Linked DNA regions of Saccharomyces cerevisiae S288C. The protein of the gene in region 1 interacts with the protein of each later gene in a biochemical or structural test. Each region holds a gene or a part of one and is shown in the gene's direction. Other genes may lie near its edges. The genes, in order: TOR1, PIB2, MAF1 and SCD6.

Region 1 (11,444 bases):
TACTCATCGCATCTACTGTTCTCGAGAACGTGTAAAGTGATTTATGCCATTGAATGAAAAATTTTGTTAAGGAACAACTAGAAATATAATAGTGTCTTGGTGGATGTGGCAAATGAGGTGTGCGTGATAAAGAGCTACAAACTCAAAGTAATAACAGCTATCATCCATTTTTATAGCAATATTTGAAAATGGCTGCTCGTCCACAACAACCTCCTATGGAAATGCCGGATCTGTCGAACGCCATTGTGGCACAAGACGAGATGGGTAGACCCTTTATTATCGTGAAGGATCAAGGTAACAAGAAGAGACAGCACGGATTAGAGGCCAAGAAATCACATATATTGGCTGCTAGATCAGTAGCTTCTATTATCAAAACTTCGTTGGGTCCCCGTGGGTTAGATAAGATCTTGATTTCACCTGACGGTGAAATCACCATCACTAACGATGGTGCTACAATTTTGTCCCAAATGGAGCTAGATAATGAGATTGCAAAGTTGTTAGTACAACTTTCCAAATCTCAAGATGATGAAATTGGTGATGGTACTACTGGTGTTGTTGTTCTGGCAAGTGCGCTACTTGACCAAGCATTGGAGTTAATTCAAAAGGGTATACATCCAATCAAAATCGCTAATGGATTTGATGAAGCCGCCAAATTAGCCATTTCCAAGTTAGAAGAAACATGTGACGACATTTCTGCGTCAAACGATGAATTGTTCAGGGACTTTTTATTGAGGGCCGCCAAAACTTCTTTGGGCTCCAAAATTGTTTCCAAGGATCATGATAGATTTGCTGAAATGGCTGTGGAAGCCGTCATAAATGTCATGGACAAAGATCGTAAAGACGTGGATTTCGATTTAATCAAAATGCAAGGACGGGTTGGCGGATCTATAAGCGATTCAAAATTGATTAATGGTGTCATTTTGGATAAAGATTTTTCTCATCCACAAATGCCTAAATGTGTTTTACCAAAAGAGGGCTCTGATGGTGTTAAGTTAGCTATATTAACGTGTCCATTTGAACCTCCTAAACCAAAGACCAAGCATAAATTAGACATTTCTTCAGTAGAAGAATACCAAAAATTACAGACTTATGAACAAGATAAGTTCAAAGAAATGATAGACGATGTGAAGAAAGCGGGCGCAGATGTTGTTATATGCCAATGGGGGTTTGACGATGAGGCCAATCATCTACTTCTACAGAATGATTTACCTGCCGTAAGATGGGTAGGTGGCCAAGAACTAGAACACATTGCCATTTCCACAAACGGTCGCATTGTTCCAAGATTTCAAGACTTGTCTAAGGATAAATTAGGTACATGTTCCAGAATTTACGAGCAGGAGTTTGGTACTACTAAGGATCGTATGCTGATTATCGAGCAAAGTAAAGAAACAAAAACTGTAACATGTTTTGTTCGCGGTTCCAATAAAATGATCGTGGATGAAGCTGAACGTGCATTGCATGACTCACTATGTGTGGTACGTAACTTGGTTAAAGACTCACGTGTAGTTTACGGTGGGGGAGCAGCCGAAGTGACTATGTCCCTGGCTGTCTCTGAGGAAGCTGATAAGCAACGTGGTATTGATCAGTATGCATTCCGTGGATTCGCCCAAGCGTTAGACACCATTCCAATGACTTTGGCTGAAAATTCTGGTCTTGATCCAATCGGAACTTTGTCTACATTGAAAAGTAAACAACTGAAAGAAAAGATTTCCAACATTGGTGTCGATTGCTTAGGTTACGGGTCTAATGACATGAAGGAACTATTTGTCGTTGATCCATTTATTGGCAAAAAGCAGCAAATTCTTTTAGCTACTCAATTATGTAGAATGATTTTAAAGATTGATAACGTCATCATTAGTGGTAAAGATGAGTATTGATTTTGTATAAATAAATAATAAAAGATAAGTTTTAATCACATATCCCACAATTTTTTTTCTCAGATCAGCATTTGGGGTTACTTGATTGTACATATACGTGTATATAATCAGTTGTATACGTATATTTAAATGAAGTGAGGGGCGTTTCAGTTATTTGCATTTGTTTTTGTACCTTTTTCCTTATAAGATGAGTCATGACTCAATAATCAAACCATGTTGAAAAGGCTGAAATTTCTAACAATTTCCGGACCATATTCCTCATAATCTTTCTTAGTGTGACAGTAGCCTTTGAATTCGGCTGTTTGTGCCAGCAGCGAGCCACCAAACCAGACAGCGTTTCTCTGCTTCCGATGAGAAATCACGGAAACATCTACACCAGTCGATTTAGTTCCACTTAACAGCTCACTTTGTGCGATTCTGTTATTTACGATAGACTTTAGATCTCTTTGTAAACGACGTCCAAAATCTTTGAACATGGTAGACCCACCTGATAGTACAATATTGTTGTATAAACCTTTACGGACGTCAATAGGGCAAGCCTGGATAGTTTGATCCACTACCGTGGGTAAAGGAGTCAAGAAGTCTGAGGATGCAATTTCTGGATTGAAGAAGATTTCAGGTGCTAAGAATCTTTCGTAACCAATATCTACGACTTTTCTCCTTGTCTTTTCTTGGTTTTCCACCACAAATTGGGCAAATTTAGAAGGATCTTTATCGAATTTGTTAAACTCCTTTACAATATCTGGACAGACGTAACAGTATTCTTGCTTAATCTTTTCGGCAGTTCTCAAGGAAGTGTCTGCTTCACCACGTTCTCTTAGCAAGGATTGGATGAACAATGTGATGTCTCTACCGGCTATTGGAATGTTTTTAATTGCTGAGCCAATGACGTAACCTTCCGCCACTGGGATGACGTGGGTGACACCATCACCAGAATCTATAACAGTACCAGTTAATGATCTATCCGTGACTTTTGAAGAGGTCCATGACGCAGCCAGAGCCAAAACTGCTTGCACAGCAATATATAGACCAGCACAATTAAATGATTCAAAAAAAATCTCCGCCACTTGCTCTCTGTTTTCTGGAGGATTCAGTGGTGGTTCGGTCAATAGGAAAAAATGATCTTCAGGCTCTGTTCTTAAATACTTGAAGATGGAATTTTCCCAGAATCTTTCCATGTGATCCCAATTTTCCACTTGACCGTGTCTGATTGGATAGCTCAAAGAGTAAGAGGGTCCTTGGGATGCTACTAAAGCCTCATTTCCAATATAGAAATCCAAATCTTCTGTACCTCTTTTACCGGATAAATTATTAGACAGCAAACCACCTGTTGCACCATTGAAATTGGTTGCAGAGGTGGAATTTCCAAAGTATGATGCTTCATTACTAACTGCTGAGGGCGCACCAACGCCCGAGGACTTCTTTGTATTTGAAGGTGCAGCTGTGGCTATTGCAGTAGGGAAGACCCAGGAGGGAGAATCATTACCGGCGAAACCGAGCTTGGTCAGCCCGGTACCATTGTCCATGACAACAGCGGGATTGTTTAAGTATGACATTGAATCCTAATTTCTTGCTCAATCGTGAGGCCTTACGGTAGGGCCAATTCTTGATTAAACTACTCTCATATATTTTTGTTTGAAACTTTTGAAAAGGGGTTCTCGCCATTTTGAAGCCGCGGACAGCCGGGTGACTACTGAAAGTCCTTATCGAAGGGTCTTCTTGAGCTTACGTTAAAAAAGAGCCATAGTAGCTTCACGAGAGAGTCATTGGTAAAGTGAAACATACATCAACCGGCTAGCAGGTTTGCATTGATATGGAACCGCATGAGGAGCAGATTTGGAAGAGTAAACTTTTGAAAGCGGCTAACAACGATATGGACATGGATAGAAATGTGCCGTTGGCACCGAATCTGAATGTGAATATGAACATGAAAATGAATGCGAGCAGGAACGGGGATGAATTCGGTCTGACTTCTAGTAGGTTTGATGGAGTGGTGATTGGCAGTAATGGGGATGTAAATTTTAAGCCCATTTTGGAGAAAATTTTCCGCGAATTAACCAGTGATTACAAGGAGGAACGAAAATTGGCCAGTATTTCATTATTTGATCTACTAGTATCCTTGGAACATGAATTGTCGATAGAAGAGTTCCAAGCAGTTTCAAATGACATAAACAATAAGATTTTGGAGCTGGTCCATACAAAAAAAACGAGCACTAGGGTAGGGGCTGTTCTATCCATAGACACTTTGATTTCATTCTACGCATATACTGAAAGGTTGCCTAACGAAACTTCACGACTGGCTGGTTACCTTCGAGGGCTAATACCTTCTAATGATGTAGAGGTCATGAGACTCGCTGCAAAGACTCTGGGCAAGTTAGCCGTTCCAGGAGGTACATATACCTCTGATTTCGTGGAATTTGAGATAAAGTCTTGCTTAGAATGGCTTACTGCCTCCACGGAAAAGAATTCATTCTCGAGTTCGAAGCCAGACCATGCTAAACATGCTGCGCTTCTGATTATAACAGCGTTGGCAGAGAATTGTCCTTATTTACTCTACCAATACTTGAATTCCATACTAGATAACATTTGGAGAGCACTAAGAGACCCACATTTGGTGATCAGAATTGATGCGTCCATTACATTGGCCAAATGTCTTTCCACCCTACGAAATAGGGATCCTCAGTTAACTAGCCAGTGGGTGCAGAGATTGGCTACAAGTTGTGAATACGGATTTCAAGTAAACACATTAGAATGCATCCATGCAAGTTTGTTGGTTTATAAGGAAATCTTGTTTTTGAAGGATCCCTTTTTGAATCAAGTGTTCGACCAAATGTGTCTAAATTGCATAGCTTATGAAAATCATAAAGCGAAAATGATTAGAGAAAAGATTTACCAGATTGTTCCCCTATTAGCATCGTTCAATCCTCAATTATTTGCTGGCAAATATTTGCACCAAATTATGGACAACTATTTAGAGATTTTAACCAATGCTCCAGCAAATAAAATACCACATCTCAAAGATGACAAACCACAGATTTTAATATCGATTGGTGATATTGCATATGAAGTCGGGCCCGATATCGCACCTTATGTGAAACAAATTCTTGATTATATTGAACATGATTTACAGACGAAATTCAAATTCAGAAAGAAATTTGAAAATGAAATTTTCTACTGCATCGGAAGATTGGCAGTTCCCTTGGGCCCCGTTCTAGGTAAATTATTAAACAGAAATATACTGGACCTGATGTTCAAATGCCCTCTTTCCGACTATATGCAGGAAACGTTTCAAATTCTGACTGAGAGAATACCATCACTAGGCCCCAAAATAAATGACGAGTTGCTTAACCTAGTCTGTTCAACCTTATCTGGAACACCATTTATCCAGCCAGGGTCACCAATGGAGATACCATCGTTTTCGAGAGAAAGAGCAAGAGAATGGAGAAATAAAAACATCCTACAGAAAACTGGTGAAAGTAACGATGATAATAATGATATAAAAATCATTATACAAGCTTTTAGAATGTTAAAAAATATCAAAAGCAGATTTTCGTTGGTGGAATTCGTGAGAATTGTTGCACTTTCTTACATTGAGCATACAGATCCCAGAGTAAGGAAACTAGCTGCGTTGACATCTTGTGAAATTTACGTCAAGGATAACATCTGCAAACAAACATCACTACACTCTCTGAACACTGTATCTGAAGTGTTATCAAAGCTTCTAGCCATTACGATTGCGGACCCTTTACAAGATATCCGTTTAGAAGTTTTAAAGAATCTTAATCCATGTTTCGATCCCCAGTTGGCACAACCAGATAATTTGAGACTCTTGTTTACTGCACTGCACGATGAGTCGTTCAATATTCAGTCAGTAGCAATGGAGCTTGTCGGTAGGTTGTCTTCCGTAAACCCTGCATACGTCATCCCATCGATAAGAAAAATACTACTGGAACTGCTAACAAAATTAAAATTCTCAACTTCTTCTCGAGAAAAGGAAGAAACTGCCAGTTTGTTATGTACTCTTATCAGGTCGAGTAAAGATGTTGCGAAACCTTATATCGAACCTCTTTTAAATGTTCTTTTACCAAAATTCCAAGATACCTCTTCAACGGTTGCATCAACTGCACTGAGAACTATAGGTGAGCTATCTGTTGTAGGGGGCGAAGATATGAAGATATATCTTAAGGATTTGTTTCCTTTAATTATCAAAACATTTCAGGATCAATCAAACTCTTTCAAGAGAGAAGCTGCACTTAAGGCCCTTGGTCAACTTGCAGCCTCATCTGGTTACGTGATAGATCCTTTACTCGACTATCCCGAATTATTGGGTATATTGGTGAATATATTGAAGACAGAAAACTCTCAAAATATTAGGAGACAAACAGTCACTTTGATAGGTATACTGGGAGCTATCGACCCATATCGCCAAAAAGAACGTGAGGTTACCTCTACTACCGATATATCTACAGAACAGAACGCCCCGCCTATCGACATTGCTCTTCTCATGCAGGGCATGTCTCCTTCGAATGATGAGTATTATACCACTGTTGTCATTCACTGCCTGCTAAAAATCCTAAAAGATCCATCCCTATCATCTTACCACACTGCCGTGATCCAAGCGATTATGCATATTTTTCAAACCCTTGGTCTAAAATGTGTTTCATTCTTGGACCAGATCATCCCAACTATTTTGGACGTAATGCGTACATGCTCTCAGTCACTATTAGAATTTTACTTCCAACAGCTTTGCTCTTTGATTATTATCGTAAGGCAACACATAAGACCTCATGTCGATTCTATATTCCAGGCTATCAAAGATTTTTCTTCGGTTGCTAAGCTACAAATAACGCTTGTAAGTGTTATTGAAGCAATATCAAAGGCTCTGGAGGGTGAATTCAAAAGATTGGTCCCTCTTACTCTGACCTTGTTCCTTGTAATTTTGGAGAATGACAAGTCTAGTGACAAGGTCCTCTCCAGAAGGGTATTGAGACTGTTAGAATCGTTTGGTCCTAACTTAGAAGGTTATTCGCATTTGATTACACCCAAGATAGTTCAAATGGCAGAATTCACCAGCGGGAACCTACAAAGGTCTGCAATAATTACTATTGGCAAACTGGCCAAGGATGTTGACCTTTTTGAGATGTCCTCAAGAATTGTTCACTCTTTACTTAGGGTACTAAGTTCAACAACGAGTGACGAACTCTCAAAAGTCATTATGAATACTTTAAGTCTACTGCTAATACAAATGGGCACATCCTTTGCTATCTTCATCCCTGTCATTAATGAAGTTTTAATGAAGAAACATATTCAACACACAATATATGATGACTTGACAAACAGAATATTAAACAATGATGTTTTACCCACAAAAATTCTTGAAGCAAATACAACGGATTATAAGCCCGCGGAACAAATGGAGGCAGCAGATGCTGGGGTCGCAAAATTACCTATAAACCAATCAGTTTTGAAAAGTGCATGGAATTCTAGCCAACAAAGAACTAAAGAAGATTGGCAGGAATGGAGCAAACGTCTATCCATTCAATTATTAAAAGAGTCACCCTCCCATGCTCTAAGAGCTTGTTCAAATCTTGCAAGCATGTATTATCCACTAGCCAAAGAACTTTTTAATACCGCATTCGCATGTGTTTGGACCGAACTTTATAGCCAATATCAAGAAGATTTAATTGGGTCATTATGTATAGCCTTATCTTCTCCCTTAAATCCACCAGAAATACATCAAACATTGTTAAACCTGGTAGAATTTATGGAACACGATGACAAGGCATTACCAATACCAACTCAAAGCCTGGGCGAGTATGCTGAAAGATGTCACGCCTATGCCAAAGCGCTACATTATAAAGAGATTAAATTTATTAAAGAGCCTGAGAACTCAACTATTGAATCATTGATCAGCATTAACAACCAGCTGAATCAAACGGATGCTGCAATTGGTATATTAAAGCATGCCCAACAACATCATTCACTTCAATTAAAGGAGACATGGTTTGAAAAATTAGAGCGTTGGGAAGATGCACTACATGCTTATAATGAACGTGAAAAGGCAGGTGATACTTCCGTGAGCGTTACACTCGGTAAGATGAGATCCCTTCATGCCCTTGGCGAATGGGAACAGTTGTCGCAATTGGCAGCTAGAAAGTGGAAAGTTTCGAAGCTACAAACTAAGAAGCTAATAGCTCCCTTGGCAGCTGGTGCTGCGTGGGGGTTGGGAGAGTGGGATATGCTTGAGCAATATATCAGCGTTATGAAACCTAAATCTCCAGATAAGGAATTTTTTGATGCAATTTTATACTTGCACAAGAATGATTACGACAATGCTAGTAAGCATATATTAAACGCCAGAGATTTGCTTGTGACTGAAATTTCCGCGTTGATCAATGAAAGTTATAATAGAGCATATAGCGTTATTGTTAGAACTCAAATAATAACAGAGTTTGAGGAAATCATCAAGTATAAACAATTGCCACCTAATTCCGAGAAAAAACTTCACTATCAAAATCTTTGGACAAAAAGACTGCTGGGCTGCCAAAAAAATGTCGATTTATGGCAAAGAGTGCTTAGAGTAAGATCATTGGTAATAAAGCCCAAGCAAGACCTGCAAATATGGATAAAATTTGCAAATTTGTGCAGAAAATCTGGTAGAATGAGGCTAGCAAATAAGGCATTGAATATGCTACTAGAAGGAGGCAACGATCCTAGTTTACCAAATACGTTCAAAGCTCCTCCCCCAGTTGTTTACGCGCAACTAAAATATATTTGGGCTACAGGAGCTTATAAAGAAGCATTAAACCACTTGATAGGATTTACATCCAGGTTAGCGCATGATCTTGGTTTGGATCCGAATAATATGATCGCGCAAAGTGTCAAACTCTCAAGTGCAAGTACTGCTCCGTATGTTGAGGAATACACAAAATTATTAGCTCGATGTTTTTTAAAGCAAGGTGAGTGGAGAATAGCAACACAACCGAACTGGAGAAACACAAATCCGGATGCAATTCTTGGTTCTTATCTATTGGCTACACATTTCGATAAAAATTGGTACAAGGCATGGCATAATTGGGCCTTAGCTAATTTTGAAGTAATATCCATGGTTCAGGAAGAGACTAAGCTCAACGGAGGTAAGAATGATGATGATGATGACACGGCAGTTAATAATGATAATGTGCGGATTGACGGTAGTATCCTAGGAAGTGGTTCTTTGACTATTAATGGCAACAGATACCCGCTAGAGCTTATTCAAAGACATGTTGTTCCAGCGATCAAGGGCTTTTTTCATTCAATATCTCTATTAGAAACAAGTTGTTTGCAAGACACGTTGAGGTTATTGACTCTTTTATTTAACTTTGGTGGTATTAAAGAAGTCTCACAAGCCATGTATGAAGGCTTCAATTTGATGAAAATAGAGAACTGGCTTGAAGTCTTACCACAGTTGATCTCTCGTATACATCAGCCAGATCCTACGGTGAGTAATTCCCTTTTGTCGTTGCTTTCTGATTTAGGGAAAGCTCATCCACAAGCTCTCGTGTATCCTTTAACTGTCGCGATCAAGTCTGAATCTGTTTCAAGACAAAAAGCGGCTCTTTCAATAATAGAGAAAATTAGGATTCATAGTCCAGTCCTGGTAAACCAGGCAGAATTAGTTAGTCACGAGTTGATCAGAGTAGCCGTTCTATGGCACGAATTATGGTATGAAGGACTGGAAGATGCGAGCCGCCAATTTTTCGTTGAACATAACATAGAAAAAATGTTTTCTACTTTAGAACCTTTACATAAACACTTAGGCAATGAGCCTCAAACGTTAAGTGAGGTATCGTTTCAGAAATCATTTGGTAGAGATTTGAACGATGCCTACGAATGGTTGAATAACTACAAAAAGTCAAAAGACATCAATAATTTGAACCAAGCTTGGGATATTTATTATAACGTCTTCAGAAAAATAACACGTCAAATACCACAGTTACAAACCTTAGACTTACAGCATGTTTCTCCCCAGCTTCTGGCTACTCATGATCTCGAATTGGCTGTTCCTGGGACATATTTCCCAGGAAAACCTACCATTAGAATAGCGAAGTTTGAGCCATTATTTTCTGTGATCTCTTCGAAGCAAAGGCCAAGAAAATTCTCCATCAAGGGTAGCGACGGTAAAGATTATAAATACGTTTTAAAGGGACATGAAGATATAAGACAAGATAGCCTTGTTATGCAATTATTTGGTCTAGTTAACACTTTGTTGAAGAATGATTCAGAGTGTTTCAAGAGACATTTGGATATCCAACAATACCCGGCTATTCCATTGTCGCCTAAATCTGGTTTACTAGGATGGGTACCAAATAGTGACACATTCCACGTTTTGATCAGAGAACACCGTGATGCCAAAAAAATTCCGTTGAACATTGAACATTGGGTTATGTTACAAATGGCCCCCGATTATGAGAATTTGACTCTTTTACAAAAAATTGAAGTATTCACGTACGCTTTAGATAATACAAAAGGCCAAGACCTTTATAAAATATTATGGTTAAAGAGTAGGTCGTCAGAGACATGGCTAGAACGTAGAACAACTTATACGAGATCTTTAGCAGTTATGTCCATGACTGGTTATATTCTGGGACTAGGTGATCGCCATCCAAGCAACCTGATGCTAGATAGAATCACCGGTAAAGTTATCCACATTGATTTCGGCGATTGTTTTGAAGCTGCCATCTTAAGAGAAAAGTATCCAGAAAAAGTGCCATTTAGACTAACTAGGATGTTAACATACGCAATGGAAGTTAGTGGAATTGAAGGCAGTTTCCGAATTACTTGTGAAAATGTCATGAGAGTCTTAAGAGATAATAAAGAATCATTAATGGCGATCTTGGAAGCTTTTGCGCTTGATCCTTTGATCCATTGGGGATTTGATTTACCGCCACAAAAACTTACTGAGCAAACTGGAATTCCTTTGCCGTTGATTAATCCTAGTGAATTATTAAGGAAGGGGGCAATTACTGTCGAAGAAGCGGCAAATATGGAAGCAGAACAACAAAATGAGACCAAAAACGCCAGAGCAATGCTTGTTTTGAGACGTATTACAGATAAATTAACGGGCAATGATATCAAGAGGTTCAATGAATTAGACGTCCCTGAGCAGGTTGATAAACTGATCCAACAAGCCACTTCTATTGAAAGGTTATGTCAACATTATATTGGATGGTGCCCATTCTGGTGACTGCGGTGTCATTTTTCATTTCGTGCTTTGTTTACTATTTATTTTTTTTGTATTACGCATTTGTATACGTGTGCAAGTATTGTGTATTATTATTATTATTATCATTATTTTTGTAATATCTCGTCATTATGTGAAATGAAGGATGATATAAGGTACATAAATTGTGAAATCAACTCCATTTAAAACAACTTTATTGGATAGATGGCACATGGTACTTTTCACAATAGGTATTGGCAATATCAGTCCATTTTGTTATGAGCGGATGTTTTTCTTGCAAGTCAAAGTTTGGATCAAATATGGACTTACTAAGTACTTTGTTAATGCGTAATTCTTTTTGAGCA
Region 2 (4,072 bases), on another chromosome or scaffold:
GAATGATCCGGAAACAATCAATTTGGCCAGTAGTGCCGCAGGTTTGATGGCGTATTTGCGGTCACTTGTCTTGAAATCCAGGTAGATGTCAAATATCTTGGACAATGCGACGGCGGCGGACACACAGATGACTGGTGTCAAAGTCAACATCAATCTAACCATAACACCGGCAAAGTACGAACACAGAACGGAGTAAGCGATGACAAAAACGTGCTCGTCTTTCAAGTCGAGGAATAGTAGGAATACACCGGCGGGGAATAGCCAGATCAAAAAGTGGGTATCAAAGAAGAAAGCGGGCCACGAAACGGGTTGATGTTCGGAAACGGAGGCAATGATAGGAATGTGGATCTTTGCGTAGTTGGTATCCCATAACGAATAAAATCTACCAGTCCAAGGGGCAATCAACCCCATATAGGTCAAGGCAGAAAGTCCGACCACACCAAGGACCAAGATCAAAAACAGAGAAACCATCATGATGACTTTAAACTTAGCTGTGCTGATTTGGCCCTTCACGAAGTCACCGAAGGCGACAATCTGAATCAAACCGAAAACACCCAATGCGGCCATGTGGTCGTTAGACCTGATAGGTAGGAAACCGACAAATGGGATCTGCATGGATGCAACAGTTCCAATAGCGTACCAAGTGGTGTAGGCAGAATACAGTTTGGACGAATATCTGCCCATCAAAATCAGCAAAAAGACATGGAGTGGGATCAAGTTGGTGATGAACACGTATCCACCCCAAGCCGACACCATGTAGAAGTAGAATAAAGCTGCACACGTTGCGTGCATGATAGAGCCAGTCTTTTGGGCCTTAATCCAAAACATGAAAGTGACCATTAATAGTGTAATGGCAATGGCCTCATTATCGTAGGACCCCGCCACTGATCTAGATATATAACCGGGGACAATGGCTATAAAACCAGCAGCCAAAAGCCCAGCGCTGGCATCTTTAATCTCTTTCGTAAATTCGTAAGTCGCCCAGGCGGTGACCCCAGAAAATAGTGGCGCAAATAGCACACAAACGTTTCTGATGTCAATGGGCAAGCCCAACCAGTTGCGCAGGGCGTGCCAGATGAACGCACTAGTCGTCATCAAACCAGGATATAAAGTCCCTCCAGTAACCCTTCCGAGGGGGTACCAGGTACGGTCGTCAAACCAGTTCAAAAACTTGTAAAACGAATTGTTGACGAGATATTTGGTAGCCCTATAATTGAACCAGGGGTCGAATTCATGGATAATAGACTCAAATTTGATGACTGCAAACAAACGTGATGATATGGCAGCCCCAAAAATCGCCACGAAGATGACGAGCTTGAGGATGGTCTGAAACACAGACAAAACACACGACCGGTCGGATCCCATGGCAGCTGTGATAATGACGAATGGTAGTTAGGATTTACGGCTGTGAATGCGATTGCGGATGCTATGTCACGTTGAATTAGACCGTGCTTTTGCTGCTTTTCTTTCTTTCAGACTTGCTCTTTTGTTCGTGTCTTATTTTGTCAATTCTCGACCAGCGCGAAAAAGCAACCGTCGATGGTGACCATTTAGCAGAGGCGAAGAGAAGTAAAAGAAAGCTTATGATATGACTATTGAGACCTGGAATAGGTACGAAGCGCCAGTGAGGAGGACTGGGCAGCACAGTTGTAGTGGAGACCAGAATGACTGCGTTGCATAGTGTGTCCAAAACGCCCGCGATCAAGGAAGAGGAGGAGGACGGTGATGAGCGAGACGGCAGAGGAGTTCCCCTGGGACCAAGGAACCATGACTACCGTGGCAGGAAAGGTGATGAGGAAAGCGGTGCTGACACCGTGACATCTCCCATCACGTTTGAAAAGAAGAAGATAGCGCCCAGGGCGTCAACGCATTCCGAACAGAGTATTTTGAGCAGCATCTCATTGAAATCGATGGTAAATCAACATCGTCAGCAGCAGTTGCAGCAAGAGAGCTCAACAGGGGCAGGCACTGGGTTTGTTGACAGAAAGCAGCAGATCCAATCTCCGGCGATGGTGTCCATATTGAGGAAGAACTCTGCTGAGGAGAATGTTCGCAGCAGCCACAGTAGCAAGCTCGGTGAAGGGCAGATAGATGGTAGGAAGGCTTCTGCTAGTAAGGAGATCGGCAAGACGTTGCCATTCACGGATGACCAAAGATCGAACCCTGAACTAGATCCCACCAATAGCGTGGTGGATGTTAGCAGGGGCAAGAATACAAAGAGCAAAACTGTGTTCAATGAGTTAGAAGATGATGCCGATGACGATGACGAGGTTCGACAAAAGAATCTAACCACGCAGGCGTTACGCAAGTTGTCGTCGTTCAAAATGAATGCTAGTTCTAATTTGAGGTTGAGTAAAGAAAACAAGGCGAAAGAGTCTTCATCTTCGTCCACGTCTTCAGTGTCGTCATCGTCGACGTCGAAGGTGGAAAATATTGTCGACAAGCTGACTACAACGAATTCTAGCTCGATGTCCCAACTGCGGTTTGGCAACACGAACGTCATTATTGATTCGGTGAATCATGCGGCGAAACCGCCGCATCAGCAGATGCTAAGGAAACCCTCGCTGGAATTTTTACCGCAGCCTGCTTCGAGCACTAATCTGAATTTTAATTCCAATAAACATAAATCAAATGTAAGACAGATCAGTAACCCTAAAAAACCGCTATACATCCCCGCCGTGCTGAGGAAAGTTTCAGAGACAAACATAACTAATGACGATCTGTTGAATGCAACATTGTCGTCTTACTACAAGAAGGCATCTAACCTGGAACATGGCTTTAATCCAAGCAAGTCGCAATCCGCTAGCGTTCAGAATGCGAACAACCTACGGATCATATCTTCTCAATCCAGCGTACAATCCAACACATCGTCAATCTTGGAAAGCTACAAAAACAAAATATCCTCGTACTTGTTCCCGAATTCTATTCCGAACAGCGACAGAATCAACTTAATACCAACTATTTCAAACAGAAACTCTGCCAGAGTAAACCCGCCCACTAAGGACCACTGGATTCCGGACAGTAAGAGGAATTCTTGTCGTTACTGCCATAAGCCTTTTACCCTGTGGGAAAGGAAACATCATTGCAGGCATTGCGGGGACATCTTTTGTCAAGACCATTTGCGCCATTGGCTGTACCTGGACTCGCAGGCAAATTTTATAATGATCAACGAACTAAACAACGGTGGCATAAATGGCGGTGGCACTCTCTGTAAAATATGCGATGACTGTCTGGTCGAGTACGAGAACCTTTCAACCACGAACCATAACGCAAACACGAACGAGGATAACATAAACGTTGAGGAGGGCGAAGATGACGATAATGACAATAGGAAGAAATTACGCAATTACTACAAGAATAGGCAGATGAACGCTCTTTTCAGACCAAAGAAGGGCGGTTCGTCCCAAGAGCATGCCACGGTTGATCGAGACACAACAACGCCCATCCAGGTGAAGTCGAACGACGAAGAAGCAGATAATGAGAATACGGGGGGAGAACAAGAAGAAGGTAATGATGTTTTGGGCAGTGTTATCGGCTCTGTGCCTGCAAACTGGAATTGGAGTAGTTTCTGATGAACATTTTTTGCGAGACAAGCGAAGAGAGGATGTACACTATTGATGTATGACCATTATGTATACAATAAACTTAATATAATATGATATAATATAATATAATATATAACACTAACACTTTCCTGAGGATTTTCGGTATGGCGCCGAGCGAAATTTTAAAGAGAACAACAGAAACAGTCACCAAGACTTCTTCAATTAGGCAGCGCAAAACGGACACAACAGCAGTAAAGACAACCGGAATGGACTCGATTATACCGGCAGGCGTCAAGCTAGATGATTTACAAGTGATATTGGCTAAGAACGAGAATGAAACCAGGGACAAAGTGTGTAAGCAGATCAACGAAGCACGCGATGAAATTCTGCCGTTGCGATTGCAGTTCAATGAATTCATACAGATAATGGCAAACATAGACCAAGAAGGATCCAAGCAGGCTGACCGTATGGCCAAATACCTACATATCAGAGACAAGATTTTGCAACTGAACGATAGATTCCAGACT
Region 3 (7,344 bases), on another chromosome or scaffold:
CTGTCAGCTCTTTTAGATCGGGGCTGCCGTTTGAAAAGTTTTATCATCGCCAGACATGCCATAAGGAATATCTCCACCGCCTCTAACTGTCCCTAACTCGGTCTCTTTCTTATAACTACCATTACTCAGTGTTGAGAGATTGGTAGAAATATACGCGTATACGTTCATTCAAGACTTATTTTCAGCCAGTAATATTCCCTACTCCTCTTCCGTTTTCAGAATAGAGATGGACCAGCCAAGGACCCATTCAGGACCCACGACGGCCAGCAATCCTGCCCCCAGCTCCACCAACTCGTCATCTGCTCCCAGCGCGACTAATTCAAAGCAGGAAAGATCCTCTTCGTCACTGTCCAAACCTTCGTCAGTGGTTCCTTCAAAGGATTCACCAGATGGTGACGCTATTGCTAAGACTCAAGCAGCCGCTTTAAAAAACGACATGAAATCTGGTGATACCAGTACATTAGATGGGTCATCTCAAAATATAATTCCAAACAGAGCCTCAATGCAAAAATATATTGACCAGTCATCAGATCTGCTGTCGAGGAGCTCCGGCGTAATAACGCCCTCCATGTCTTTGAATGCAAGCACTAACGCCACTAACAACGATAGCAGTGGCAATTCAGCTAATAGTAGTGATTTGAAGATCCCTATAGACAGGGACAATACTATATTCAAGACGTTCGACACCAAGACTGGTCAATTCTTGAAAAACGATGATAATGAAGAAGAAATAAGGAGGAACAATAAAGTTGATTCGATACCCCCAAAGAATATTTATACTAATATCAACAATCCATCTCCCTCCCCACCACCGTCGTCAAAGCAACCACCGTCTGCATCCGCGCCGCAATTGCCACCAGCAACGGAACCACACAAAGAACAAGCAGCACAACAACAGCCACCAGGAAATGCTTCTAACTTTTTAAGGATCTTTTCAAATAAAAAAATGAGGTCGCATTCCGTACCCACTATTTTGCATTCTTCTTTAAGAAAATTATCATCCCACAATCAATACTATCGTAATCAAAATATTCTTTTAAATCATCCAACTCCTTCCGGCATATCAAAGAAAAAATTTTCTAGAAACCATCATCAACCATATTTGCATTCTAATAATCCTCTCAGTTCAAACCCTCTTTCATTAAAGCGCGCAATTTTTTTAAATCAACAAATATCAGGTAACGCAAGCACTAACGCTAATAATGACAACATTAATAATTCCACTGCCACTTCAATGACAAATCAAAGCTTCCTATCAAGCTCAAACTTTGACTTAACTTTGGAAGATAGAATAAACTACATAAAGGCTACTCCAACGCCTGTTCCATTTCCTCCTATAAATTTGCAGGGCTTAAAAGAGATTGACTTACAGGAAATTCTGAAAAACCCACAACTAAGACATGATATAATATTCGACCCGCTACTACAATTCAGGCCAAATCTTGATGGCGAAAGAGGGAATAAAAAAAGACAATTGGCGAATATCTATTGGAATGATGTTCAAAATGAAATTTATGTTTACTCTAAGAGGCCTGAAATATTCCAATATAACAGGTCAAGACTAGTCCCACTTTTTGACACTTTAAGGGATGTATTGTTAACGATAGTCCCACAAAAAGAGTCTCCGATGATAAATAATGTACTGGACACAGAATTGAACATTCAAGAACTATTGAAAGGTTCTCTGATAATGTCTAACTTGTCAGGCTGGTTGGCTGATTTATTTAAACATCATTGTGCCCCCATGAGGGACCCATGGGTGGATAAAATGAGCAACAAATTTAAAGAAGCTGAAAGAGACTCTTCTTTAACAAGGTTAATAGAAGGTTTAAGGTTGGTTTTTCAAATTTTGGAAACAATGAAATTGGATATTGCCAATCATCAAATAAGAATACTAAGGCCAGCTCTGTTAAGTAATGCTGTAGAATTTGAGAAACAGTATTTCAACACTCTTATAGCCTCTAAAAGGGTGAATTTAAATACTTCCCTACTTTGGTTTGATAAAAAATTCAACGAAAATGTTACCGCTGGCCTTGTTAGAAATCCAAGTTCTATCACTATCCCTGATGTCTACAATATTTGCATTAGAAGTATAATTAACCTATTGTCATGTAGGAAGATGGTGAGAGAGTACCCAACTCCGCTTTCTTTTGATCATGCAAGATTGATCCTTTTGCGTGCCGATATACGTCAAATTGTTTGTATTTTAGTTTGCCGTTTACTTTTCCAACAATTGGTGGCCAACGATCCTTCAATGGATAAAGCTACAAAGGAATATGTTATTCATACATACTCAACTAAAAGGCTGAAGAATGAAATTATCAGCATTATAACAGATGAACACGGCAATTGTAGGTGGACTAAAAACACAATGTCTATTGCTGTTCATCTTTGCAAAGTTATTGACGATCTTCACAGGGAGTACGACAACAATGGTAGTTGTGAACAAGCCAGAAGGCCTCAATTGCCTTCATTAGACAACTCAAAAATAACCTTTGCTAAATCTTGGTTATCTAAGCAAACTCAACCCCTCAGTGAAGTTTATGGTGTCCTAGAAAATAGAGTATTCAAATCACTAGAGGACGCTATCTTCAACAGGTCCGAGTGCACAATTGATGGACGCGTTAAACAAGACTTTGTGTACCTCTACAACACAAACAATGGCAACGTAGGTAGCACTAACACTTTGAGTACTACTACAGATACTGCTAGCGTTAAAATCAGCCCGTCTTTGATGTCTCCTTCTAAAACCTCCACCACCACACCTACTGGCAATGCGATTGCATCCAGAGGTTTATTCGCAGCAACAGAGCTGGAGGAATTCGAGAATGTTTATCGCCACTTATATGCATTAATCAACCTTCATTGGTCCGTATTCGGTCCTCATTATATCGAAATGTTAGGAGATAAAGTTAATAAAAAAGGAATATAACTATTATCGGTAATGGAGGAAAAAAAAATTTTTTTACCATTTCTTTATGTAACTTCATATATCATTTTTAAAGCGTACATTTCTTATAATTTCACTTCTTAAATGCAGTCACATATTTACTGCTATCAGACAAAGTAAAGCGTCGCTAATTACTTGCCTCCACGAGTTGCTTGTCAATCAGGGGCGCTTCATCTCGCCAGCGAAAGCGCGTTGTCCATCTTATTTAACAAGAGAAAAAAAAGATAATTCAACTTAAAAAGAACGTGCTATCAGCTATATAAAATGTAGACACATTATGTATCAGTGTTTCTTTAGCAATGCGAAAAATATAGGCTTAGTGTCATTTACTTAAAGTTTAGAAACTCTGCACACTTCACCAAGAACAAGTTTAACCGCTCATTACTCCAAACGGATTTTTTTGCCTAAAGAATCACGACAATGAAAGTATGTTATCACTCTAAAACTGCCATGCTCTTTATTCGAAATTACTAACATTGTACCTGAACCCTCCTTTTCTTCCTTAGTTTATTGATGAGCTAGATATAGAGAGAGTGAATCAAACTCTCAATTTCGAGACAAATGACTGTAAAATCGTGGGCAGTTGCGATATTTTCACAACAAAGGCGGTTGCATCAGATAGAAAATTATATAAAACTATTGATCAGCATTTGGATACTATTTTACAGGAAAATGAGAATTACAATGCTACCCTTCAGCAACAGCTAGCTGCTCCCGAAACAAACCAATCACCCTGCTCGTCGCCATTTTATTCTAATAGGAGGGATAGCAACTCTTTTTGGGAGCAAAAGAGAAGAATATCTTTTAGTGAATACAATAGCAATAATAACACTAACAACAGTAATGGCAATAGCAGTAATAACAATAACTATTCTGGACCTAATGGTTCTTCTCCAGCAACTTTTCCCAAAAGTGCCAAGCTAAATGACCAAAATTTAAAAGAATTAGTCTCGAATTACGATTCTGGCTCTATGAGCTCATCGTCTCTTGATTCTTCTTCTAAGAATGATGAGAGGATAAGAAGAAGGAGCAGTAGCAGTATTAGCAGTTTCAAAAGTGGTAAATCATCGAACAATAATTACAGTTCTGGTACAGCAACCAACAATGTTAACAAAAGAAGAAAATCTTCGATAAACGAAAGGCCAAGCAATTTAAGTTTGGGTCCGTTTGGTCCCATAAACGAACCGTCAAGCCGCAAAATATTTGCTTATCTGATTGCTATCCTCAACGCTTCTTATCCTGACCATGATTTTTCATCGGTTGAGCCAACGGATTTTGTCAAAACATCATTGAAAACTTTTATTTCCAAATTTGAAAACACCTTATATTCTCTTGGTAGACAACCAGAGGAATGGGTCTGGGAGGTAATTAATTCTCACATGACTCTTTCTGATTGCGTCCTTTTTCAATATTCACCTTCAAACTCTTTTTTGGAAGATGAGCCTGGCTATCTTTGGAATCTTATAGGTTTTCTTTACAACAGGAAAAGGAAAAGAGTGGCTTACCTTTACTTGATTTGCTCGCGTCTAAATTCGAGTACAGGCGAAGTGGAAGATGCCTTGGCAAAAAAACCTCAGGGAAAGCTTATAATAGATGATGGCTCAAATGAATACGAAGGAGAATACGATTTCACTTATGATGAGAATGTAATAGATGATAAATCAGATCAAGAAGAATCCCTACAGTAGTTTTAAACTTTAATTTGTGAATTTTCCTTGTCTTACACCTATAATCGTTAAAAACAGTCCCTTTATGTCTACTATTGTAAGTTTCTATTTTTAAAAAAATACCCTTTTCAACTATGTACCTTTATGACAATATTATATTTACTAATTGAACACTTTAGCGAGGATTGAATAATGTGCGCTACTATATAAAAAGACTGCCTTCATCATATATTACTGCAAAGCTCTTAGTTTCTTTCGAATACGGAACTTCAATCAGGCTGTTTCTATTCCTCGCTTAGTAATTTGATATGCAATTTGACCAGGCTTAGCGAATGTGGAATATACCACTTTCATTGTCCTCTTAACTTGCCAGAAGCTTGCCGAATCACCTCCCTTATAAAGATGAGCTTCACCTCTTTGAATTATTGTTGAAGCCTTGAAAGATTTTTGAAGTAATATTCGTGTTGAAACGTGATTGGACCAAGTCAAACCGAGATTGGGGACACGATAGTCAAATTTCCGTTTCTTACTTTGTCGACTGATAGGACTTGATGAATTTCGCTCAACGGTTTTATTCTCAATTATGGGTGGTTTCTTTTTTGAAAAAAAATCATAATTCCGGTCATTTACAGTGCTCATAACTCTCTCGATTAGCATATAATCTTCATCGTCTGATAGAATTTCATCGTTATTGGAACTTGCTCCAAGCAGCGAATTCATCTGCCGATAAAGAATGGTTGAGTTCTTCCAGCCAACTAGCCACCCTAGCTGATAATCATAATCAGTTACATATGTCCTATGTGCCACTGGACTGTTAGCCAGTGGTTTATCCCCAACTTGATTAGCCACCACAACGGATAATGAATAATCGTGGGCCAGTATTTGGAGCTTCTCTGCCATCCTATCCAGATAGTTTTTATTTTCTTGGGATTCTCTGAAGGACTTGTTCTGAAGCTCCACCCTCAAATGATGAGAAATCGAATCTATTATCACCAATTTTATTGAACCCTTAGATCTCTCTAATAAAATAGGCAACTGAACATTGATTATGTGTTCCTGATTTATTAGGTCGTTACAGCTGACGGTGAAAATATTTGATTGTGTAATACCTAGTTTTTCATAAGCCGGCCTAGACGATAGCATACTTTCCAATCTCTGAGTTGGTAAATCGCCCTCAGTGGTAATATATACACATTTGCCGCCAAGCCCTCCCGCAGGTTCGGAAAGTTGGACACTTAACGCCAACTGCATAAGTAATTGAGATTTACCAGTAGAGCTCTCTCCGAATATTTCTGTAATGCCATGCGTGAATATGCCTCCACCTAATAATTCATCCATAGCTACATCAGCAGTCGTGAAACACTCAGGACCGTTATCTGGGCTGATAGAGTTTTTTTCACAGATTTCTAAGTACTTTTCATTATATTCATGAACAAGCAATTGCTGAAATCTGAAAACCTCATTTATCGACCTTTGTATTAGCCTTGCCAATTCCTTCGGAGTGAGTGTTAAAAAATCTACGACGCAGACACCATTTTGCCTTACTGCATCCAAAAGATATGAAAATTCTTCATCATAAAGGAGTTTACTTTCCGGTAATTCATCGTAAAGGTCCATATACGTATTGTCAAATTTTATTGATAAGGCCCTAGGCATGAATTTACACACTTTGAAAAATGGTGAATTCCCAGTGGTTGTTCATCATTTTCATTTTTTGAATTCAACGCGAAAAAGCCGAAGATTAACCGGCATCTGAATTCTCATGTTACTTAGAGGATAATGTGTGAGAAGAAATAGGTAAAGGAAGAATATATTTATAATATATAGGCAATTAGACTAATCAAAATCACCGTCCGTATAAATCGTTGAATGGCTTTTCCGTGGACCGAGTCGAAAGCGTTCCGATGAATTGACTGTTCTGGACGTCGATACTACCAGCTCTCAAACCTAAATCAATAGTATGTTCCTACTATAATACACAACTCGGAATAATCGCGACTTTCAAAGAAACGAAAACTTCTGTACTTCTTTTTTTTTTCAGCACTCTTATAACTATTTTCTATACCGCAAGTCATGCGATAATAAATTCATTAAACGAAAAATCACTTACTCACTTTCGCTCTTGCCGGCGCGTTATTAACATCAAAGGAAGAAGATTCAACAGTCGGAGAATGCTGCTCGTTGCGATTACTCTGACCATTAACGAAATTATTCATAGTGGGTCTTAGCAGATTGAAGTCGAATTCACTTTCACTAGGAATTCGTACGACGGCAGCCACTGGGCGCTGTAAGTCTTTATCAGTCGAGCTAGCTTGTTCTTCTGATAAAGGCGGTGGCGCTAAATATTCCGTTTTGCCATTAGGATGAAACTCTCCTCGTTCGTCGTAAAACCCCAAATCATTCTCATTTGCTGTCTCTGTATATTCAGGAACATAGTCTTCAACGCAACGCTGTGTGCCATTGTAATCTCTCTCGGACTGCCTGTAGGTAGGCGGGGTTAACCAAGCGGTTCCCCTAATCGGAGCTTGACCCATAATTCTTCTTCTCCTATTCACTTTTGCAGTTGAAAACAGAAGTATAAGGAGTGCAACTATGAAAAAAATAAAAAAAATCCATCTTCCCCATCTCCATGAGGAAGAGCTAAATGGATCATCATCTGTAATCGCTTCACCATTGTTATTATTATCATCCTGTCTTTTATGTATTAGGAAGTCGATCTGCTCCCGT
Region 4 (6,727 bases), on another chromosome or scaffold:
TATGAAGGAAGAAGAGCAGCAAGAAGAGAACGCCATTGTGAGCGTCAAGGATGAGTTGAGCTTGGACGACCAAGACAAGAACATAGATGCGGCTGCTCCAGACGTAAAACCGCATGACACCAAGCCTATCGGAGAAGCCGCTGCCATCAAAGAGAAGTAACCCAGTTTTCACCTGGCCCATTAAACCGCACGATACACTCTCCGCTACTCTCGCCAACATTCTTTTTATACATACTTGCACGAAACTGCTTTTTTAGCAATGAAAAGAAAATGTAGTGAACTCTACTATAGATTTTGTACATAAGATAAATAAAATACACTACTATATGAAATTTTTGTTTGTAAAGCTGGTGTTTGCACACATAGATAGTATCAACGTAGGGGATCAACACATGCACGACTACTAGAAGCCTTACCCGTAACTTCTTGCATATCTGCTTTGCCAATATTTTTTTTTAAAGTTATTTCTTAAACTACTCCTCGTGCTGTCCACATTTTTACCCGTTAGTTGTTAGACAAAAAAAAAGCGCAACTATCTCCCTTTTGCGCATCTCCCAAGTCCTTTACCAAATATATTAGAAGAATGACACCCGGCCGAGACGGATGAAGCGGCCGTCTCGGCCGCCTTAGGAAGGGATCTGCGTTTTTGTTCGTTAATGAGGTAATCAAGGGCGTACTTGGTAGAACGGTACTAAGTTAATCATTGCTGCTCTCCCTCAAAATTACTCAAAGAATAGAGTGTCTATTGAACCGTAGAATAGGCATTTATTATATAAGGGGTTGTCAATTTACCAAATTTTTTACTTCATCTCAGGACTCTCTCTTAAAATTATTTTCCTTGCCATTTTCTATGTTATGTAGAATAGAAAAACAGGTACATATTAACTAAAATATACACCAAAAAAAGTAAAAATAAAATGTCTGTCGCCGATTTGAAAAACAACATCCACAAGTTAGATACTGGCTATGGTTTAATGAGTTTGACTTGGAGAGCCGAGCCTATCCCTCAGTCGCAGGCTTTCGAGGCCATGCACAGAGTGGTTGAGTTATCCAGAGAACGTGGGCACAAGGCCTTTTTCAACGTTGGTGAATTCTATGGTCCCGATTTTATTAATTTGTCGTATGTTCACGACTTCTTTGCGAAATACCCAGATTTGAGAAAGGATGTGGTTATCAGTTGTAAAGGTGGTGCAGACAATGCTACCTTAACCCCCAGAGGCAGTCACGATGATGTTGTACAAAGCGTAAAGAATTCAGTTAGTGCTATTGGTGGCTACATCGACATCTTCGAAGTCGCAAGAATCGACACTTCCCTATGCACGAAAGGAGAGGTCTACCCCTACGAATCGTTCGAAGCGCTTGCTGAGATGATCTCCGAAGGCGTTATTGGCGGTATTTCATTAAGTGAAGTTAATGAAGAGCAAATTAGAGCTATTCACAAGGATTGGGGAAAGTTTTTGACCTGCGTTGAAGTGGAACTTTCTTTGTTCAGTAATGACATTTTACACAACGGAATTGCTAAAACATGTGCTGAATTGGGGTTGTCCATCATCTGCTACTCCCCACTGGGCAGAGGATTGTTGACAGGTCAATTGAAGTCAAACGCTGATATCCCTGAGGGTGACTTTAGAAAGTCGTTAAAGAGATTTAGCGACGAGTCTTTGAAAAAAAACCTGACCTTGGTCAGGTTTCTACAGGAAGAAATAGTCGACAAGCGCCCACAAAACAACTCCATTACTCTTGCACAACTGGCTTTGGGATGGGTTAAGCACTGGAACAAAGTTCCGGAATACAGTGGCGCCAAATTTATCCCAATTCCAAGTGGCTCTTCTATTTCCAAGGTTAATGAAAACTTTGATGAACAGAAAACCAAACTTACCGATCAAGAGTTCAATGCCATTAACAAATATTTGACTACTTTCCATACTGTTGGTGACAGATACGAAATGGCGTAAGGTTAAAAAAGTGAATCTCCATTGTTTATATAAATTTTAAATTTGATATGTAAAGATTCTAAACGCAATGTGCTTATTTCAGTAATAGTAAGGATTCTCAAGTGGAAGCCAGCTTGCGTTGTCCGTTGTGCTTTAGGAAAAAAGAAGAGTACAAGAATATTAGCCTCTTTAAAGATTTTGTCAATTCTCCTCTGAAAGCAAACAACAGACCTTGCACAATGACACCCTTTGTCAATTGAGGAAGAACTCCCTTCCAAAGAGATTTTAACCCTTCATTTTTGTACAAGTATAGTAGCGCTTCTTGGAAAGTAGTGAATTTAGAGCCAGCGCTTTGAAGCATTGCTTTAGCGACAATCAAGGGTTGCGTAACTAGAGTCGAAATCATCTTGGAAAGGACACCCAAAATGAAATTTTGCACTGCTGACAAACTGCCAGCATCGTTGGAATGGTCATGGAAAAAAACTTCTTTAAGTCTTTGAAAAGAGGCATATGTGATGGAAGGATTTATCGTCAATGCTAAACCTGTTCTTAAACCTTTCCAAAAAGCAGTTATGTCCCCATTATTTTCACGGTAAATGTCCTTAATAACGTTGGTAAATTTGGCAGACTCTGCAGAATGGACTGTTTGTTGTCTTGTAGCTACCACAGCCATGGGACTAGTAAAAAGTTGCGATATACTGGCAGCTGCTACCCCAAGTACCAATTCTTCAATCGTAGAAGGTGTGATAGGACCATCGCGGTTTTTCAGTGATTGCAGTCCTAACAGCTTATGTTTCATGTAGGACTTTCTGATAAATGTGTACCAAAAGAAATAAACAAAATTCTGGACAAATGTGGCCACCGTAGTGACTGTCATACCTTGATACAGACCCAAAATACCCTTTTCTTTGAATATGTTTATCATGCAATCTACAACATTCTTATATCTCCTATTGGGCAAAACTTTACCTTCGTTACTATCCTCACTTGAAGAAGGAGATACTTGTGACTGAATGATCGTCTTCGATAAATCCAGCGGATAAACTGCAATATTGGCCATTGCCGAAGCCACAGCGCCAGTTAATGCAGACTCTAGAGTTAACATTGATGATATGCTCGTAACAATCTTGGCCTAGCTTCCAGGGTGTCTGTACTTTTACGCAGCATCATATTTTCTCTATTTTTTGCACATCTTCTTGCTCTTCTTATATTTACCAATTATCTGAAATAGTCACTCGGACCGAGATGCAAAAATCGGATTTAAAACTCGATCCGAGGAGAACACCAAATGACACAACTTCTATCAATGCAATTGCCCTCTAAGTATCATAGATGCCGCTATTTTAAATGACAGTGCAATCGATTTCCATATTAAATGGATAAAGGTGTTTATTATGAAGATACCCATTACTGACGTATATGTAATGATTCCTCAGTCCAGTACCATAGTCCCGTCACCTTACACGGTGGAAAAATTAAACTGTACCCGCGATTGTAAAGAATAACGTGGAGGCAGTCAGAAAGAACAATAAACGAATAGTGAGGATGTCGTAGAAGAAGCATTCATCGAAAAACAGCAGCAAGGCAATGTCGCAGTACATCGGTAAAACTATTTCTTTAATCTCTGTGACTGACAACAGATATGTGGGGCTGTTAGAAGATATTGACTCTGAAAAGGGTACCGTGACTTTGAAAGAAGTTCGCTGTTTTGGTACAGAAGGTCGCAAGAACTGGGGTCCTGAAGAAATTTATCCGAATCCTACGGTATACAATTCTGTAAAGTTCAACGGCAGTGAAGTCAAGGATTTAAGCATTTTAGATGCTAACATCAATGACATACAGCCGGTTGTTCCTCAAATGATGCCACCCGCTTCACAATTCCCTCCTCAACAAGCTCAATCTCCACCCCAGGCTCAAGCTCAAGCACACGTGCAAACAAACCCCCAAGTTCCAAAGCCCGAATCCAATGTGCCAGCAGCTGTCGCTGGATATGGTGTTTACACCCCAACTTCGACAGAAACCGCTACTGCTAGTATGAATGATAAGAGCACTCCTCAAGACACCAATGTAAACTCGCAAAGTAGGGAAAGAGGTAAAAATGGTGAAAATGAGCCAAAATATCAAAGAAACAAGAATAGATCAAGTAATCGCCCTCCTCAATCCAACCGCAATTTCAAAGTCGATATTCCGAATGAAGATTTTGACTTTCAATCAAATAATGCAAAATTCACGAAAGGTGATTCCACTGATGTGGAAAAAGAAAAAGAATTAGAATCAGCTGTTCACAAGCAGGATGAATCTGATGAGCAGTTTTATAATAAAAAATCGTCTTTTTTCGACACCATCTCCACTTCTACTGAAACTAATACCAATATGAGATGGCAAGAAGAAAAAATGTTGAACGTTGACACCTTTGGACAAGCTTCTGCCAGACCAAGATTTCACTCTAGAGGCCTCGGTCGTGGGCGTGGAAATTATAGGGGAAACAGAGGAAACAGAGGAAGAGGCGGCCAACGTGGAAACTACCAAAACAGAAATAACTACCAAAATGATAGTGGCGCCTATCAGAACCAAAACGACTCGTACAGCAGACCAGCCAACCAGTTTTCGCAACCTCCTTCCAACGTTGAATTTTAAAATGATGTTTCTATGTAAATTAAGTATATCATTCAGTATGTACATACAAAAATCAAATTAATAGTATTATAGTCCGCGCCTCTGGATAGTATTATTTTAGTGCGTATCGCAAAATATGAATAGCACAGAGGTTCATTATTATGTTCTGAGTATGAGGACGAGGTAATACATACCTTAAAATCTTACATCATGTGGATAGCATTTATGGCTTCTTCCATCCGGCCGTACGCTTCTGTTCCTGTCCCTAGCCATAGCTTTTCTCATATCAAAAGCATCTTTATTGTCATCTACTTTTTTCAGGGTATCTGGATACCCATCTTCAGCTGAGTTATAATATCCCACCACTCTCCTGTAGACACTGTATCCCAATTTTTCGTAAAGTTTGATGGCCAATTGGTTATTGCACTTGACGAAAAGATCGATAAAGTTGACTTCATGGGGCATGACATCGGTCATGGTCTCCAAAGTATTACATAACTTCGAAGCTAGCGATATTCGGCGGAATCTTGGAGCTACTGTCACTGCAGTTATATGAGTGTGCCACTCCGTGGTCTTGCCTTCTGTTTTTGCCATCATGTAACCAGAGATATTATGCTTAAATGTAGGATCAACAGTCATTTCTGAACTTTTGAAAAAAAGGTCTGGCCATATTATCATGTATTCAAAATAAAACTCTAAAGGGAAGTTTTCTGTTAAGATATCAAGGTTGACATTGTTAGTTTTGAATAAATCGACAGGTTCAAAAGGCTGAATTGTTGTCATTTCTCGAATCCTCCTGTCTCTTTCCTTGAATATTCTCAATGTTCCACTATCTTTCACATAAGCAATATTGTGAACTATATATACTTCATTAGATATTGCTTCAACATTAATATTAATAAAAAGGACATGCATAAAGTAACATCCGAACATCTCCAAACACCCATACATATTTATATTATCGACGAGGGAATTTTTTTCTTCCCAGGCCCACCAACGTGCGCCCACCGCTATGTTTTTTGCGCCTAGGTAGGTGGGCTAGCTTCTATGTATCAAAGCTCCTTCTGCGCAGCCGAGGTTTTGCTAAGCACTACCGCATTGGAATGACTGTGTTTGTAGGAGCTCCTTGTCTCCACGCTTTCGCAATTTTCAAGATCGAGATACTATTAGTGATGGTAAGGTTATGAAGCTTACATGTTTAATATTGTAGATTCCAGAAGCAGGTAAGAACAACAAACTACAAGAAAAGATGGGTAAAGGTAAGCCAAGAGGTTTGAACTCCGCTAGAAAGTTGCGTGTCCACAGAAGAAACAAGTATGTACAATTATAGAAGATTGCACTATGGTTGAAAGATTTTCATAATAAGTAGAAGAAAGGATCGGCCATTGCTACCATGAAATGAGTTGGAAGCTTGAAAAAGTAAGGGAGAATAATTTTGCAAGAAACTAGGGTAGGGCTACTTAATTTATTATAGCCATTTGAATTCATCAGCTTTTAGGAGGAGAAAGGCCATTTTGCGAATTTTGAATAAGAAAGTCCACAAGTGATGAAACTGAAAATCTACAATGAATTTCTGCCATCTCAGATAATGAATTCACTACGAGAACCTCATTTACTAACAAATTTATTAATCTTTTTGATGAAACTATGTTTTGTCAAAAGTTAATCGTTTAAAACAGCCGTTGGGCCGAAAACAACTATAAGAAGAGATTATTGGGTACTGCCTTCAAGTCTTCTCCATTCGGTGGTTCTTCTCACGCCAAGGGTATTGTCTTGGAAAAGTTGGGTATCGAATCCAAGCAACCTAACTCTGCTATCAGAAAGTGTGTTAGAGTTCAATTAATCAAGAACGGTAAGAAGGTTACTGCTTTCGTTCCAAACGATGGTTGTTTGAACTTTGTCGATGAAAATGACGAAGTCTTGCTAGCCGGTTTCGGTAGAAAGGGTAAGGCTAAGGGTGATATTCCAGGTGTTAGATTCAAGGTCGTTAAGGTCTCTGGTGTCTCCTTGTTGGCTTTGTGGAAGGAAAAGAAGGAAAAGCCAAGATCTTAAGCAGAGTTATATTACGATTTCATAATTCGAAAAATTCTACTGTGTATGTATATGTTTAAGAGATTAAATAATTCTTCAAAATCATCAAACATCAAGCTTATTTAATAATCCTCTTAATAAAACCA

What was found.
Region 2: the proteins of TOR1 (region 1) and PIB2 form a complex in vitro, tested with the Saccharomyces cerevisiae proteins (3 studies listed by BioGRID).
Region 3: of the proteins of TOR1 (region 1) and MAF1, one has a biochemical effect on the other in vitro, tested with the Saccharomyces cerevisiae proteins (one study listed by BioGRID).
Region 4: of the proteins of TOR1 (region 1) and SCD6, one has a biochemical effect on the other in vitro, tested with the Saccharomyces cerevisiae proteins (one study listed by BioGRID).

The regions. Positions count from the first base shown.
Region 1 is NC_001142.9:555,726-567,169, forward strand, and holds TOR1 (phosphatidylinositol kinase-related protein kinase TOR1), read left to right. Parts: upstream 1-3,690; coding exon 3,691-11,103; downstream 11,104-11,444. Other genes in the region: chaperonin-containing T-complex subunit CCT5, read left to right, coding at 189-1,877; ARP3 (actin-related protein 3), read right to left, coding at 2,084-3,433; YAE1 (Yae1p), read right to left, coding at 11,294-11,444.
Region 2 is NC_001139.9:449,697-453,768, reverse strand, and holds PIB2 (Pib2p), read left to right. Parts: upstream 1-1,664; coding exon 1,665-3,572; downstream 3,573-4,072. Other genes in the region: dolichyl-diphosphooligosaccharide--protein glycosyltransferase subunit STT3, read right to left, coding at 1-1,365; PGD1 (Pgd1p), read left to right, coding at 3,812-4,072. UniProt on the Saccharomyces cerevisiae protein: Functions as an intracellular glutamine sensor that directly activates the TORC1 signaling pathway, to promote cell growth when glutamine is available. May play a role in repressing NPR1 activity independently of TORC1 signaling.
Region 3 is NC_001136.10:454,130-461,473, reverse strand, and holds MAF1 (RNA polymerase III-inhibiting protein MAF1), read left to right. Parts: upstream 1-3,370; coding exon 3,371-3,376; intron 3,377-3,456; coding exon 3,457-4,638; downstream 4,639-7,344. Other genes in the region: SOK1 (Sok1p), read left to right, coding at 227-2,932; putative DNA-dependent ATPase RAD57, read right to left, coding at 4,891-6,273; YDR003W-A (uncharacterized protein), read right to left, coding at 6,570-6,692; RCR2 (Rcr2p), read right to left, coding at 6,720-7,344. UniProt on the Saccharomyces cerevisiae protein: Mediator of diverse signals that repress RNA polymerase III transcription. Inhibits the de novo assembly of TFIIIB onto DNA.
Region 4 is NC_001148.4:789,166-795,892, forward strand, and holds SCD6 (Scd6p), read left to right. Parts: upstream 1-3,521; coding exon 3,522-4,571; downstream 4,572-6,727. Other genes in the region: YLH47 (Ylh47p), read left to right, coding at 1-160; YPR127W (pyridoxine 4-dehydrogenase), read left to right, coding at 918-1,955; ANT1 (Ant1p), read right to left, coding at 2,053-3,039; peptide alpha-N-acetyltransferase complex B subunit NAT3, read right to left, coding at 4,746-5,333; 40S ribosomal protein uS12 RPS23B, read left to right, coding at 5,800-5,864, 6,230-6,602.